Diceros bicornis minor: one gene and its partner. The protein of the gene in region 2 interacts with the protein of the main gene of each other region in a biochemical or structural test. Links are inferred from orthologs where the notes say so. Each region holds a gene or a part of one and is shown on either strand. Other genes may lie near its edges.

Region 1 (8,247 bases), on a different chromosome or scaffold from region 2:
ATCTCAGACACGCAGAGACAGGGACACACAGACACACACATAGACACGCAGGTACACACAGGCAGATGTACACGTTACAAAGAAATACACACGGATACAAAGACATACATAGACACGTACTGACACAGACATCCACATATGCTCATACACAGACACAGATATTGACACAGTAACTCACACAGACACACACATAAGTTCATAGGCATTCACAGATACAAACACAGGCACACACAAACATACAGACACAACACATATACAGACACACGTACACTCACACAGACACATACACTCGCGGACACACACGTAAGTACACAAGCACAAATATACCAGCGCACACACAGGAGCCTACGCGATTACACACGTACACTACACTTAATCTCAAGGCTTCCCAAAACAGTAGGCACCGTGTTCTCTGCTATTTCCTAGTCTATTGTATTCTTTTAATGTGTTTTTTTTGTGTGTGTGTGTGAGGAAGCTCAGCCCTGAGCTAACATCCGTGCTAATCCTCCTCTTTTTGCTGAGGAAGACCAGCTCTGAGCTAACATCTATTGCCAATCCTCCTCTTCTTTTTCCCCCAAAGCCCCAGTAGATAGTTGTGTCACAGCTGCACATCCTTCTAGTTGCTGTATGTGGGACGCGGCCTCAGCATGGCGGGAGAAGTGGTGCGTCGGTGCGCGCCCGGGGTTCCGAACCCGGGCCGCCAGCAGCGGAGCGCGCGCACCTAACCGCTAAGCCACGGGGCGGCCCTGTTGTATTCTTTTAAATGCAGAGGAAGTCTGGAAGGATCCATAAGAAACCAGTAACAGGGGGACGCAGAGTCTGGAGAGGAAGACCTAGCCTGTTACAGACAGGGATTTGCGAACCAGACTGCCAGCTGCTCTGCTCGTGGGCTGTGAGCGCTGGCACGTGACTTGACCCCCCGAGCCTCGGTCTCCATATCTGCAATGAGGCTCATAAGAGAACCTCCCCACCCCGGGGCTGTTGTAAGGAGTGAATAAGTCAACATTTAAAACAGTAGCCACAGGGGCCAGCCCCATGGCGTAGCAGTTAAGTGCACTCGCTCCGCTGCTGGCAGCCGGGGTTCGGATCCCGGGCGTGCACCGACGCACAGCTTGTTAGGCCACGCTGAGGCGGCCTCCTGTATGAAGGGGAGGAAGATGGGCATGGATGGTTTAGCCCAGGGTCAGTGTTCCTCAAGAATAGACGGGGAGGATTGGCAGATGTTAGCTCAGGGCTAATCTTCCTCACGAAGAAAAATAAAACAGCAGCTGCTGGCAGCCAGCGCTATACAAATGGAGGCTTGAAATTTACAGCTTTTTATGCTGTTTTGATTTTGGAACCACATGAATTGATTACCTGCCATAAAAGTAAAAGTAATAACTAGAAGATGCGAGATGTCATTTTTGTGTGTGTGTGTGTGAGGGAGATCAGCCCTGAGCTAACATCCATGCTAATCCTCCTCTTTTTGCTGAGGAAGACCGGCTCTGAGCTAACATCTATTGCCAATCCTCCTCCTTTTTTTTCCCCCAAAGCACCAGCAGATAGTTGTATGTCATAGCTGCACATCCTTCTAGTTGCTGTATGTGGGACGCGGCCTCAGCACGGCCGGAGAAGCGGTGCGTCGGTGCGCGCCCGGGATCCGAGCCCGGGCCGCCAGTAGCGGAGCGCGCGCACTTAACCACTAAGCCACAGGGCCGGCCCAAGAGATGTCATTTTAAAAATGCTTGCTAGGACCCAAATAAATTGATGTCACAGCTGCTGGCCTGACATACAGTTGAGGTGTATCTCTCTGTGTCTCTGTCTCTACCTCTGTCTGTCACACACACACACACATATCCAGGTCCAGGCTCTGGGTCAGAGCCCTGGTCCATTCCTGCAAACTCCAGGCCTCTGCTCCCCCTGCACCACTGGCCATCTACCCACCCCCCCGCCACCACCCAAGGCCATTCCTCCCTCCAGGCACGTCCACTCACGGTACACTGTGATGTTAGAAGAGGTTGACAGCTGGAAGCTGTAGCAGAAGCTGGAGCAGAGGATCTGGCTGTCATTGGTTACATTGCTGAGCTGGAAGGCTGCCCAGCGCGAGCCCTGACCCAGCGACTTCTTGGGTAAGAAGGTCTCCAGATGGAAGGATTGAGGATGGGGACAATCTGTACTACAGTTTACCGAGATGGACCCTCCATCAGGTACCACTAGGTCCTGGGGCTCAAATCGCAGTGAGTACTGCCCATGGACACCTGCGGGAAGAGACAGAAACTCTCGTGATTGTTCTGGTGCCCCCCAACCCCCCATCCTCAGGTCCCACCTCATGCCCAGGTATAATGGTCCCCGCCTTCAGGGTGCGTTAGTCTAGTGGGGAAGACGGATGATGGATCAGGAACTGGGGAGAGTTTGGAGGAAGGCCAAGGAAACCCTGATCCAAACTACAGGAGGGAGTGAGTCAGGGAAGGCTTCCTGGAGGAGGGGACGACCATGGCCAGTTTTGAAGGATAAGTAGGCGTTAGCTAAATGAAAGGGAAGCAAGGTCTTGGCAGAGGGAAGAGCATAGGCACACATCGAGGGGCTACATGGAGCTGGGAGAGTGTGTGTGTGTGTGTGTGTGTGTTGGGGGTAGGGAACAAGTTACATGCAGGGATGGCGCCTCGGGGAGCCCTGGAGGCTGCGTTAAGGAGACACAACTTTCTCTCGAGCCCCTGTCGGATCTGAGTTTCAGGAAGTCCTCGAGATGGCCAGGGCACAGGAAGTGGAGAGCTTTGCTTTCTCTGTTCTCTTACCCTCTCTCTACTGACCTCCCGACTCCAGCCTTCCCCAGCTTGACTCTCCTCACCTGCGGGCAGCAGACAGCCGATGAGAAGCAGGAAGACGAGCGACATCCAGCAGGCCCCAGGCAGTCGCCCTGAGGGCATCACAGTAGCCAGCCTGCGGGAGGAAGGCGTCTGGCAGCAGGGAACAGGCGGAGCCGCCCAGGGGACGGAAGTGCAGCCACAGTGGTGAGGATTGCAGAAGTCCAGGGGCTGCCCCTTGCTCAGGCCTGGGGAGGGGCAGGGGGATACTCTGTGACCCCGGGGGTCCAGAGTGGGGGACCTAGGTAGGGCCCAGCAAGGTGGAGGGTGCTGGTGAGTCTCTGGCAGGGCAGACGTCAGTTACACTGCTGGTCCAGAAATGAACTCACAGGAAGTGGAACACAATCAACTTCCTTTGTTCTCAGAACTACGAAGCCTGGGGGGGCCGTGGAGGGAGATGAGACACCTCCTTCCAGCTGAACTTATGGGGGACCTCCAAGCACTGTCCTGGAGGTGATAAGATGAGATTTCAAGGCAACATTTCAGGGGGAAATGAAGGGACTTCTAGGTAGGGCCTCAAGGGGTTAGCATGAGATCTCAACATTCCTGGGGGGCAATTAAGAGATCTGGGGATGATAATGAGGGACCCGTAAGATGAGGGAAGCCATGAAAATGAACAGCGCCCACATTTACTGGGTGCCCAGCTCTGTGTTGACCACCTGAGTGGCTCCTGTAGGCCCTTTCCCTTTGAAGATCTTGGGGCCGCCCATGCCCCGTGTGCAGTGCTGAGGCAGGGAGACAGCTGAAATCTGAACCACTGTCTGTCAAGGATGCTACTTGTAACTGGCCCTGTCCCCTGTCTCATCCTCCCTTGCCTTCCCCTCTGGGCAGCTGGTCCTTTCATCCCAAGAGAAGGGACTGGGGGGTCAGGTGGGCACTCCCACTTCCATCTCTCAGGCCTCTGACCCGCCTCCTGTGCCTCTGATCTGAGCTCCAGAGAGGGACCTTGTGGAGGGCGTCGATAACACCCGGCGTTCATCCACTCTCCCCATCCCTGAGGCCACGCCCCCTCCTGCCTCACCTGGGGCACCTCCCCCCTCCAGTCAACTGCCTGGCCCCCCAGTCCATTTCCTGCACGGTGCTGAGAGAGCAACTAAAACCCAAATCCAAAGTATTTGTAAATAATATATCTGATAAAGGCTTATATCCAGATTATAAAGAAATTCTTACAAGTCAATAACAACAAAACAACCCGATTCAAAAACGAACAAAGGACTCGAATAGACATGTCTCCAAGGAAGCTGTACAAATGGCCAATAAACACACGAAAAGATGCTCAACCTCACTAGCTGTAACCACAGGCCCTCCAGGACCAGTTCAACTGACCCCATCTCATCAAGAGTAATTGAGAGTGGTTTTTCAGGACCTGAGACCCCTTGTGCAGTTCAGGCTGGTGAAGACCACCAGCTCATCAACTGGGCTTGCAAGGATGACCCATAGGTGACCCTTTTGACGTCCAAGGGCTGAAAACTCCACGCTCAGATCATGCTACCGCCACTATTTTGTGAACATGAAGAGCCACGGAGCTTGACCGCGCTTGCGCAGATCATCAGTTACCTCACCTCTGCTCTCCTCCAACCATCTATCTCTGCGCTTCAGACAGCCCCGCCCTTCATCCCATGAATTGTGCCCCAAGCCCTGGATTGGGGAGACAGATCTGAGAACACAGGCCCCTGTCTCCTTGCAGATCAACCTAGCAATAAAGCTGGTGTCTTTTTCCCAAAGCTGATGCCTCAGTAATTGCCTCTTGATGTGCTTCGGGCAAGAGGACCCCAATTTTGTGCGGTAACATAGCCATTAGGAAAATGCAAATTAAGACCACGTGAGATCGCTCTTCACACCTATTAGGATGGCTGCTGTCAAAAAAAAAAACAACAGAAAAAAAGTGGTCCATCCATTCACCCTTAAAAAGAAATGAAATTCTGACACGTGCTACAACATGGATGAACCTTGAGAACATCATGCTCAGCGAAATAAGCCAGACACAAAAGGACAAATATTCTACTCAAATGAAGACACTAGAATAGCAAATTCCTAGAGAAAGTAGACAGTTGTTACCAGGGGCTGAGAGGAGAGGGGAATGAGAAGTTAGTGTCCAGTGGGGACAAATTTTTGTTTGGGAAGATGAAAAAGTTCTGTAAATAATAGTATTGATTACACACATTGTGAATGTTTTTAATGCCACTGAATCATACACTTAAAAATAGTCAAAATGGTAAAATGTATATTATGTATATTTCACCACAGGAAAAAAATGACATCCACCTATTTTGATTTGTATCCAAAATATGAGATGGATTGATGGATGGCAGAGAAATGACAGATACCGCATAATAAGGTAAATTTAGCAACTGGGTGATGGTGGAATTTAGAGATGTTTGCTGTACTATTCTCCCAACTTTTCTATATGTTGGCAATTTTTCAGAGTAAAATGTTGGAAAATAAAATGCATCCCTGATGGATCTGGGTGGCTGTTCATGTCACAACAGGAGGGACAAGCTGACCCTGAGTGTCTCCTGCGGAGAGGGCACAGTGCCCTCTGTGAGTCTTGCCAAAAAATGGAAATTGAACTTGACCATTGGTGGGTCAAGGTGAGGACAGAGGAATGCATTCAAGTCGACCACAAAGATGACGCCACAGCGGAAAAGTCTATGGAACAAACAACCTAGTTTCTTCAACAAGGATGTTGCAAGGAGGAAAAAAAAGAGGAAGACGAATCCAGAACTTAAAGGAACCCGCCCTCCGCCAAATGCAGTGCGTGGATCGTCTGGATATTTCTTTCTTTTTTTTTTTTTGTGAGGAAGATCAGCCGTGAGCTAACATCCATGCCAATCCTCCTCTTTTTGCTGAGGAAGACTGGCCCTGAGCTAACATCTATTGCCAATCCTCCTCCTTTTTTTTCCCCAAAGCCCCAGTAGATAGTTGTATGTCATAGTTGCACATCCTTCTAGTTGCTGTATGTGGGACGCCGCCTCAGCATGGCTGGAGAAGCGGTGCGTCGGTGCACGCCCGGGATCCGAACCCGGGCCGCCAGTAGCAGAGCACGCGCACTTAACCGCTAAGCCACAGGCCGGACCTGGATATTTCTTTGAACAAACTCTAAACAAACACACACCAAATATTTAAGAGACAATTGGGGAAATTGAAACTGAGGCTGCACGATGATGTTGAGGAATTATCATTCAACTTTCTGTGGGCGGTCATGATTTTGTAGTTACTGTTTGTGGTTACATCTTTTCGAGATACTGATGGAAGTTTTGACAAAATGATATATCTGAGATTTGCTTCAAAATGACCTCGTGGCGGGGCGGGGGTGGGGGAGAGTTGAAACAAGACTGGCCACGGGTGTTGCAAACTTGATGCCGCCTGTTGGGTAAGCACAGGTTCATTACATTATTTTCCCTTCTTTTGTATATGCTTTAAATTGTCCGTAATTGAGGCCGGCCCCATGGCTTAGCGGTTAAGTGCGCGCGCTCCGCTGCTAGCGGCCCGGGTTCGGATCCCGGGCGCGCACCAACGCACCGCTTCTCCGGCCATGCTGAGGCCACGTCCCACATACAGCAACTAGAAGGATGTGCAGCTATGACATACAACTATCTACTGGGGCTTTAGAGAGGAAAAAGGGAGAAAAAGGAGGAGGATTGGCAATAGATGTTAGCCCAGGCCAGTCTTCCTCAGCAAAAAGAGGAGGATTAGCATGGATGTTAGCTCACGGCTGATCTTCCTCACAAAATAAATAAATAAATAAATAAAAAGTAGCTGCACAAGGGTAAGCCAAGATAACTTTGGGGAAAAAAAAGAGAGAGAGAGAGAACTGCCTTATCAAATATCAAAACATATTCTAGGGGCAGTGTATTTTCCCGGTTACCAGACAAGATCCTAAATGCCATTCCCATTGAGAATTTTTTTTTTTTTATGAGGAAGATCAGCCCTGAGCTAACATCCGTGCTAATCCTCCTCTTTTTGCTGAGGAAGACCGGCTCTGAGCTAACATCTATTGCCAATCCTCCTCCTTTTTTTTTTTTCCCCCAAAGCCCCAGTAGATAGTTGCATGTCATAGCTGCACATCCTTCTAGTTGCTGTATGTGGGACGCGGCCTCAGCATGGCCGGAGAAGCGGCGCGTCGGTGCGCACCCAGGATCCGAACCTGGGCCGCCAGCAGCGGAGCGCACGCACTTAACCTCTAAGCCACAGGGCCGGCCCCTCCTGTTAAGAATTTGTCCTACAGATACCCTTGAACGTGGGTGAAATGATGTCCGCATGTGGTTACTCACTACAGCACCATCCTGGGCCTGGCAAAGGATTAGAAATGACAACAGGAACCCCAGCGGGGAATAAAGGCAGATAACACGTCAGCGATGACTACAATGAAATCATAAAATAGAACAAGAAAACTGTTTGCCTGGATATGTGGGACCATCTCCAAGACCTATTACATGGAAAAAATAAATCACAAGGATATAGATGAGAGCTCTATATAGTAGGACATGTTACTATTTTTGCAAAAGATGGGAAAGTATAATGTGTACAGATTTCCTTTTATCTGGGTAAAATGTCTCTGGAAACAAAAACAGGAAACCAGAGGCGACAGTAGTGGCTGATGCACAGCGAGAGACTTTCACTGCCTAAGTCAATAATATGTATCCATGGGCCAGCCTCGTGGCCTAGTGGTTAAGTTCAGTACCCTCTGCTTCGGCGGCCTGGGTTCTGGGGTTTGGATCCCGGGGCCAGACCTACTTGTCAGCCATGTTGTGGTGGCGTCCCATATACAAAATAGAGGAAGATTGGTACAGACGTTAGCTCAGGGCTAATCTTCCTCAAGCAAAAAAAGAGGAGGATTGAGGCCGGCCTGGTGGCATAGTGGTTAACCTCATGTGCTCTGCTTCAGTGGCCTGGTGTTTGCAGGTTCGGATCCTGGGCACAGACCCACACACCGCTTATCGAGCCATGCTGTGGCAGGCGTCCACATATAAAGTAGACGAAGATGGGGACAGATGTTAGCCCAGGGCCAATCTTCCTCAGCAAAAAACAAAACAAAACAAAACAAAGATTTATAATTATAATGAATATTTAATTTTGAAAACTGTTATAAAAAGCAAATGTCACTAGAATAGTGTGGAACTGTCTGGTCAGGAGAGCTGGCAATGAGCAAGATTTCGAGAAGGCTTATGAAAAAGGAAATTATTTAACTGCCTTTCACAACACGGCTAACACATAGCCCGTGCCTTTCACAACATGGCTAACACATAGCCCGTCTCTAGTACAACTGGTAAGGAGAAACACTTCAGCAAACACCAGATTAACAATAATATCAAATGTTTATTAAGCAATTGTTTGCATGTCTGTCTGCTAAGCATTTGACATAAATGACCTCATTAGTTCTTTCCATGAGTCCTGCGAGGTA
Region 2 (7,886 bases):
AAATCAAAATATAACGGCTATAAGAAATAGAAAGGGAGCTTTACTCAAGGAAGGAAATTCTGACACACTACGTACAACATGGATGAACCTTGAGGACATCAGGCTAAGCTAAATGCACCAGTCACAAAAGAACACATACTGTGTGACTCCACTCATATGAGATAACTAGAGTAGTCAAATTCATAGAGACAGAAAGTAGAAGGGTGGTGGCCAGGGGTTAGGGGGAAGGAGAAATGAGGAGTTAGTGTTTAATGTGGACAGAGTTTCAGTTTGGGTAAGTTCTGGAGATGGATGGTGGTGACACTTGCACAACAATGTGAATGTACTTAGTGCCACTGAACTGTACAGTTAAAAATAGTTAAGATGGCAAATTGAATGTTACGTATATTTTACTACAATAAAAAAAGGAAACCAGAAAAAGAAAAGAAATTACAGTTCATCATGAGAAATGAGAGAGAAAAGTACTGACTGGAAACTGGTTTATTAACTCTTTTCTTCTAAGTGATACGCTAAAATCTGAACTCTGCATCTTTTCGTGAAATAAAGAAAACCACACCAGGAAATGGTAATCTCTTGACCACTGCTCTGCATAACTGCTCAGGGCTGTGCCCCAAGTAAGCGGCTGTATTTAGGTCAGTTTTATATCATAGGGATTGTAAAGCCCGGATGTCACGGACCGATTGCAAGTTCGAAACTAAAAGAATTTTGTGTAGGAAAAAAAATTTTCTGCATCACGAATGAATCATCTTGATGAAATAATTTAGGCAAAAACTATACTAGCTTCTCAATCTTTTAGTATATTAACATAGTAATTTACTTACTTAAACAACAAAATAAGACTTTATTAATAAAGAACTCATTTTAGAGAATCTAACATTTAACGGTAGAAAAGCACATACAGCATCCACTACAGAACCAATCTGTTTCAAAAACTATTCCATATGTATCTTTTATTGCAATTTTTAATGAACCCAGACATTTTCTCCACCGTGATTCAAAACTCGATTAAAATTTAAACCCTCCTCCCCAGTATCTGGTCACCAGTTTACCTGCGTTAAAGCAGGCAGAATATATACTACTTCCTAAGAAACGCCCGTCACAAAGAACCTGCCTCGGTCCCATAACTTAAGCGAAAGCCTAACACCCCAGGCCTGGCTAGCCAACTCGCAGAGAACGCAACAAAATCAGATTCCGGGGCACAGAGGTGCGGGCACGGCAGCCCTGACATCAGCTGATGTTTATGACATTTACCAGGAGTGCAAGACCAGAGAGGGCCCAGGGAGCCTCCTTATCAAACTCCGGGGCTGCCTGCCCTCATCTGCAATTCAAGTCCATTACTAAACTCTTTCAGATAGGAATCCTGCTGCCACCAGCAAATTCCGGGCGAACAGAGCACAGCTCCACAGGCTGCGCCGGCGTGCAATGCACTGGAACGGGGCTGCCCGCCAGAAAGACAGCGTCTCCTCTGCCAGATGCCCTTGGGGGCGCCAAAAGAAGATTTGGGGTGCATCTGGCTCCGGACTCGGAGGGACTCGGAGTTGGTGTGCGCCGTCGGACGTCACTCAACTCTCCTGCGATTTAGACAACTTTTCTTTCTAAGCAACTTCCAAGTTGCATTAGAATACACTTTGAAACAGACTGAAGCGGTGTAAAAGGGGATTCTAACTTGTATAAAAGACCGTAACTCCTGGGGGGCGGAGCTCGCAAACAAAAAGACTGTAGAGAAAAGCATCAAAATCGTGTTTTCTTCAGGAGGTCCCTAAAAGGACCAACACACAACAAAGAGGAGAGACAATTCCCTACTCCTGCCCTCTTATCCGTTTAAAAAACCCTGCCCCAACACCTCGCCCAGGTGCCTCCAATTGAAAATACAGCTCGAAGCCTCCGCCCCAGCCCAGAAACTGGGTTACTTACTGGTTTCGGCATTTTCGGTTCCTGATGGGTTTTCCTCAATCCCCTGGAAACACTACTCTCGAGCAGCAGCTGAGACGGTTCTCCCGACCTGGAGGCAGAGGGAAGCCCTTTAGAGCGCGCAGCAGCCCTCCTCCCGCGCCCGCCGCCGCGCCCCGAGACTCGCCGCCCGCCCCGCGCCGCTGCTTAAGAACCCGCCGGGCGGGCGCCGGGATGAGTCACCGCCCAACCTGCAATTACCGCAGGCCGGGCGGGCGGGCCCTGCGGGGAGGGGGCGGGGGCGGGGGCCCGGGGGGGGAGGGGGGGAGGGGGAGGGGGCGGCGGGGAGAGACCCGGTGAGGAGGGGGCTGGACCTGGCCAGCACGGGGCTCGGGGTCCCGGGGGGAGGGACCCAGCCGGAGGGGGCGCGGGGTCCCGGGGTCCCGGGGGGAGGGGGCCGGCCGGAGGGGGCCCGGGAACCCGGGGGGATGGACCCAGCCGGAGGGGACCTGGGGGGAGGGAGCCGGTGGGGAGGGTTGCGCGCGCGCGCGCGCATAGGGATGTAGGGCCCGGGCGGGGGGCCTCGGCGCCAGGAAGGGGGCTTGGCGGGGAGGGTGCCGGGGCGGGCGGCGCGGATCCCGGCGGGGAGGGGTCGGGGGACCCGGGCGCCGGGGCGGGGGCCGGCTCCCGGACTGGGAAGCGGCGGGGCGGGGGTCCCCAGAGGTACTTCTCGGGGCTTCCCGGAAGCCAGCGGGGAGCCCAGCAAACAGCAAGTTTCACTTTGTGAAGCAACCGTTTGCCCCAGGGCTGAAACCGCAACCGTCAAGCCTTTGAGAAACACTTGAAGAAAACCGGCCCCGCCCGGGAAGGGCCGAGGACCGCGGGGCCAAGCGAAGCACGAGGGCGCGGGCAGGGGCGCGGCCACGCAGCCCAGGCTCCGCTGGCACTTTGGAAGGGGGACTCCAGGGCACAGAGTGGAAAGAGGAAGGTCGCGGAGCAGCGGGGGCGGCCACACCAGCAGGTTCAGCTTCACCTGCTGTTTCTTTGGGCCGAACGGGAGAGCCATGCCCGGAGGGCCAGGCGAGGACCCCACCGGCCCGAGACCCCGAACGCGGCCGGCGGAGGGGCGAGCCCGATTCCCCTCGGGGACCGCCGGCCCGGGGCTTGCGCGCGGGCCGCCCCTCCGCCAGACCGGCCCCGCCACACCTGTCGTCGAGTCCCGGCCACTGTCCCCTCTGCGGGGCGCGCCCCCCCAACCCCGGCCCGACCCCTCCGCCCGCCAACCCCGGCCACGCGCCGGGCTCACCGGCGGCGCCTGCAGAGGACGGCTGCTCTCCCGCTGTCGGCGTGTCCGCGCAGTGCGCCCGCGGCCCGCGCTCCCAAGAGTCCCCGGCGGGGCGGGGTCCCGGGGCCGCGCCCCTAACCGCCCCGCCCGACCTGCGAGGTGCGCCCGGCGCGCAAAATGGCTGCGGCCGCTGGCCGCCCAGGGGCTCTCCCGCCTCCCACCCGCCCCGCCGGGCGCCCCCCGCCCCGCCCAGGAGGGCGCCCCTGAGGGCCTTGGAGACCCGGGCGGGGGCGTCCTCCGCCTCCCTCCCGCCCCGCCGTCTCTCTCCATCGTGAAGACCCTTCCCTCTTCTCTGCCTGTTCCCTTGCCCTTGGAGAAAAACTTTGCCGAATTTGGTTCAACTCCTGATTGCAGATGTAAGACGTCAGATTATTTGCCCCACAGTGGACAGAGAGAAAGCAAGAAAATGTAAATAAACCTGGAGGAGCAGGCGGCCAGAGGGGAGATGCTGGGCCATTTTGGGGTGGGGCTGCTCCCCGTGGTCAGGTCATTTGCTTGTCCTTGCGCCGCGACCGGGGCGGGTTCTGAGAACCCCGGGCCTGGGGCGGCCGTACCTGGCCTCTGCGTCTCGGCGCACGTGGCCGGCCGGCCTCCGCGTTCGGATTGGGTCGAGAAGGACACAAGCCTAGAAGACGCTCCATCGCCGAACGCTCTGGTTAAAGGACACAGCTGTGGCCTCCTTTGACTTGACTAGCACAAAGCTATAGCAGAAATCGCCATAGGGAGAAATTCTAGGAATTGTTTTTAATATTTTTTGCAAATGGATCTCAAGAGGAATTTTAAAAAACACACAAAACACATGGACTTTGGTGGCCAGGCGCATTTGTGGCGCAGTGATTCGGTGAGCCAGCTCCAGAGCGGTGGTTCTCTAAGCGTGCTTCGCACACTAGCATCGTGAGCATCACCTGAGAACTGGCGGAAATGGAAATTCAAGGGGACCGCCCCAAACCTAGGGCTCAGAATCTGTAGGGCTGGGGCCCAGCAGTCTATCTTCAAGCCCTCCAGGGGATTGTGATGTAGGCTAAGGGTTGAGACCAGAGCTTCTCCGGAATTCCTTTCCTGGGCTGGCCACTAACTCCCCATGTGAGTTGAGCGCGTTATTAACTCCTTTGTGCTTTCGTTTTCACATCTGTAAAATGGCATAATTATGGCACCTATTTCCTAGGGTTGTTATGAGGATTAGAGGAATTAATGCATGTGAGATGCCTAGAGCAGAGCCTGGCACACAGTAAGCACTTGAATCTCTCCTGGTACAGACAGTAACCAGTGACTTTGGGCAAAGACCCAAACTCTCCAAGACTCACCTTCCCAATTCGTAGACTGGAGATACTAGTAGCCCCCCGACATGGACTTGTATGGATTAAGTGAGATAATGTGTGCAAAGTGCTTAGCAGAATGTGGGCCTCCCACTAATGCCTAACCTGTCACGGGGGCAGACTGCTTCTGGGGTACCCCTTGTCAGCTTGTACCTGTCACCCTCTCCCAGCTGCAGGACCAGGGCATTTTAGAGGTCCAGGTGAAGAGGGAGGCCTTTTCTGAGATTTTGTCCTGTATTCCAACAGCAAGTCTGTTCCCTCTGAAAGACTTTCTTTTCTATTAAAATGAAGATGTAAAGTTAACTGCAGGAGGAAGGAAACTATGAAAGATATTTAAATAACCTGCAGTGATAATGGTTCAGACTGGACATGTTACCCCAGCCTGCTCTATCTCCGCCTCTTATCACTGCCTGGAGACTTGTTAGTCATTTCTGGTCCCCAACTCTGCTGATAGGATGTGCCTCTAACATAATTGTTTATCTCACCCACTTTACGGTATATTGTCTTCTAAATTGGGTGTTTTGAAATAGCAGTGGCCCAAGACCTGGAGCATTTGTGAACTTTACCCTTCAGGGGAATGGTGAAAAGGAATTGGCCTGCGGCAGTGTGGTAAAATGAAAAGACCACAAGTTTCAGAAACGAACAGAGCTGAGTCTGAATTCTGGTTCCAGCATCTACAAGCCCCTCACTTTGGGCCAGTCTCTTCATCTGAGCTCCTGCCTCTTCAGCCGTAGACTGGAGATAATAATGTATGGAGTTCTTGTGTCACTGAGTCATATAATGGGAGCGTTTAACTTACTCAAATTTGATTTATAGGTATACTTTTGTTGTTTAAGTTAAAATAGCATAAAGTCATAAGCCTTCCCCATTTGCTTTACATTACTGTAAGCCTTATGCATTATATTTACATGTTACTGTACAGGGTTCCCCAACCCAAAAATAAAACCTTTGTACTGTATCTTAGGAGTGTTTTCAGGGCATTTTCCAAGGGTAATTTATTTTCACCTGACTTGAGAACCTAAACTTCTCCCCAGCCCTCCCCACCCCCAGCACACACACAGAAGACTGAACTCCAAGGAACCTATGAGAATTGCTTAGGACAGTGGTACTGAAGCCTTGGTGTGCATTAGACTCACTCATGGAGCCCGCTCTAGGAATCATGGGTCCTTAAGTCTCAGGTTAACCCTGGGATCTGCGTCTTTAACAAATCCCCAGGTGAGTCTGACTTACACCAAAATCTGAGAACCACTGACTTAGGGTGTGGCAGGATCCTGACAAATATGACTTAATTTGCCTCTCCCTTCACTTCTTATGTGTGAAGTTATTCCCCTGCAGGGTTTCAGTTTTTCAGCTAGAGGAGGGAAATTGTATGTCTGCCATGAGCCTGGCAAAGGCTGTTGGGAAATTGCTTGAAGTTTTTCAGGCAAGGGTACACTAAAGTGAGGCAGCCCTCACAGTCCCTTTAGATACGGCGGCAAGGACCAGAGCTGTCGCACAGAACATCCGCTTCCTATCAGATCAGCTGGAGCCTGTCTCCACGCTGGTGCCAGGTTAATCTCAACCAATAAATAAAAGTTCACAAAGAGTATGACAAGCTCTAGCCTCAGTCACTTCAAAAGTACAGTCAGTAGGCAATAGGGAAAAATATAGAACACTCTCGGCAAAACAAGAATTTGGGTTATTTTTCAGGACTCACTAACTTTGGGTGGAAATTCAGGACAGTGACTATCTGGAGGACGGGGAGAATGATGCCTCCATGGGGGCCTCGTCAGCGGTAGTAATGTTTTATTAAGCTGAGTGGTGGCCCACGGTGCCCTTTATAGCATCCTTTGTACGTTTTTGTGGGTCTGAAATATTTTATAATACGTATTTTAGAGGTAACACTGGGTAAGCTTTTCACTGGCAGAGATGATTGTTAAAGAGAACTAAGCATTTAGTGTAATCTTATAAAGTTCCATGAACTCAATCTGGAAATCTCTGGTATGATTTAACATTCCTTTCTGACCTCTGGGGGGGTGACCAGTCCCTGCAGTGTGGGTGACAGAGCACGGGAATGAATAAGGACTCGCACAGCCTGACCGGCAGCCACTCTGTCTTGTGTCCAGAATTAACTTTTAAGGGTCTTCACAGGACGATAAGGTAGAAAAGCATTCTGATACTATTTTGATGGTACATCTTATATACCTTTGGTCCTCTGAGAAGAATTCCGGCCACTAGGTGTTCTATTTTCATTGTTTCCTTGGCTTATCTAATAATTTGTATAAATAGCCGTAATAGTTTTTGTGTAAAAGAGTACTAATGACCGCAGAACTTGTTTGATTAATAAACTCCCAAATAGCATAGCTTCTTTTATTAGAATTTTTCTTATCCCTAATCGTTTTAGGAGTTTTTTTGAAAATTTTTTTGCCGGCTTAAAAGCATGTGGTATGATGAAGTAGAGGATGGGGCCTTAAACATCATCTTTTCCCATACCCTCCTTTTGCAGAGGAAACAGCTCCACAGAGATTAAATTAGTTGTCGGCACCCCTGCACCCAGACTTCTCTTGTCAAGATAGTGGAGACTTCCATCTTGCTAAATCCGGAAGCTGACCTTCTCTGCCTCATCTTACCCTTCTCCTAAGCAGCCTTGGACACATGTAACACTCCCTGGGAACATTCTGTTCTTAGAGTTTCTGTTTTCTCCCCTCTCCCCCAATCCTGCTTCCTCCTCCGAGGCTAGCTCTCCTCCCCCAACCCTCACTGCAGGCTTAGCTCAGAGCTCATTCCTGGGTGCTTATCTGTGTACACTCTCTTCCTAGGTCATCTCATCCAATCCCAAGTCTTAAATAACATCTCCAGCCGTGACCTCTCTTGAGCAACAAGTGCATACATGTTGTCTCCAGGATTCTTGATGTTTCGAAAACTGCTCCCCTCCCAGCCTTCCCCTTCTCAGAAAACAGAACCACCATTCACCCTGTTGCTTGGCCCCAAACCTAGAAGTCAACCTGAATTCCCCTCTTTCCCTTGACCGCACTCCATCCTCCAACCCTTGTGCGTCCAATCCAGCAGACCTAACAGGCCCAGTTCGGAATATATCAGACTATGTCTGCCCCACCCCCCCTCCCGCCAGCAGGTCTGAGTTTTTGTTCTGTGCCTCAGGGATCTCATACTGGATGTTCCCTCTGCCTGGAATGCACTTCCCCCATCTCTGCTACCTGGCCTTTTCTAGTCTTCCAGGTTTTTGCCCAAATACCACCTCCTCTGAGAGCACTTCCTGCCTCCCAGGTTACTCCTGGCCAGGTCACATGATTTTACTGTGGTGGAGCTCTTAGCACTGCCTGCTATAGTCTTGCTGT

The links. The genes of interacting proteins can lie anywhere in the genome.
Region 1: the proteins of EZR (region 2) and ICAM3 form a complex in vitro, tested with the Homo sapiens proteins (2 studies listed by BioGRID). The link is inferred for Diceros bicornis minor from reciprocal best matches to the Homo sapiens genes EZR and ICAM3.

Annotation. Positions count from the first base shown.
Region 1 is NC_080769.1:8,854,498-8,862,744, reverse strand, and holds the start of ICAM3 (intercellular adhesion molecule 3), read right to left. Parts: upstream 3,177-8,247; 5' UTR 2,907-3,176; coding exon 2,828-2,906; intron 2,238-2,827; coding exon 1,974-2,237; intron 1-1,973. UniProt on the Homo sapiens protein: ICAM proteins are ligands for the leukocyte adhesion protein LFA-1 (integrin alpha-L/beta-2). ICAM3 is also a ligand for integrin alpha-D/beta-2. In association with integrin alpha-L/beta-2, contributes to apoptotic neutrophil phagocytosis by macrophages.
Region 2 is NC_080778.1:10,869,403-10,877,288, reverse strand, and holds the start of EZR (ezrin), read right to left. Parts: upstream 3,294-7,886; 5' UTR 3,197-3,293; intron 2,003-3,196; 5' UTR 1,927-2,002; coding exon 1,915-1,926; intron 1-1,914. UniProt on the Homo sapiens protein: Probably involved in connections of major cytoskeletal structures to the plasma membrane. In epithelial cells, required for the formation of microvilli and membrane ruffles on the apical pole. Along with PLEKHG6, required for normal macropinocytosis.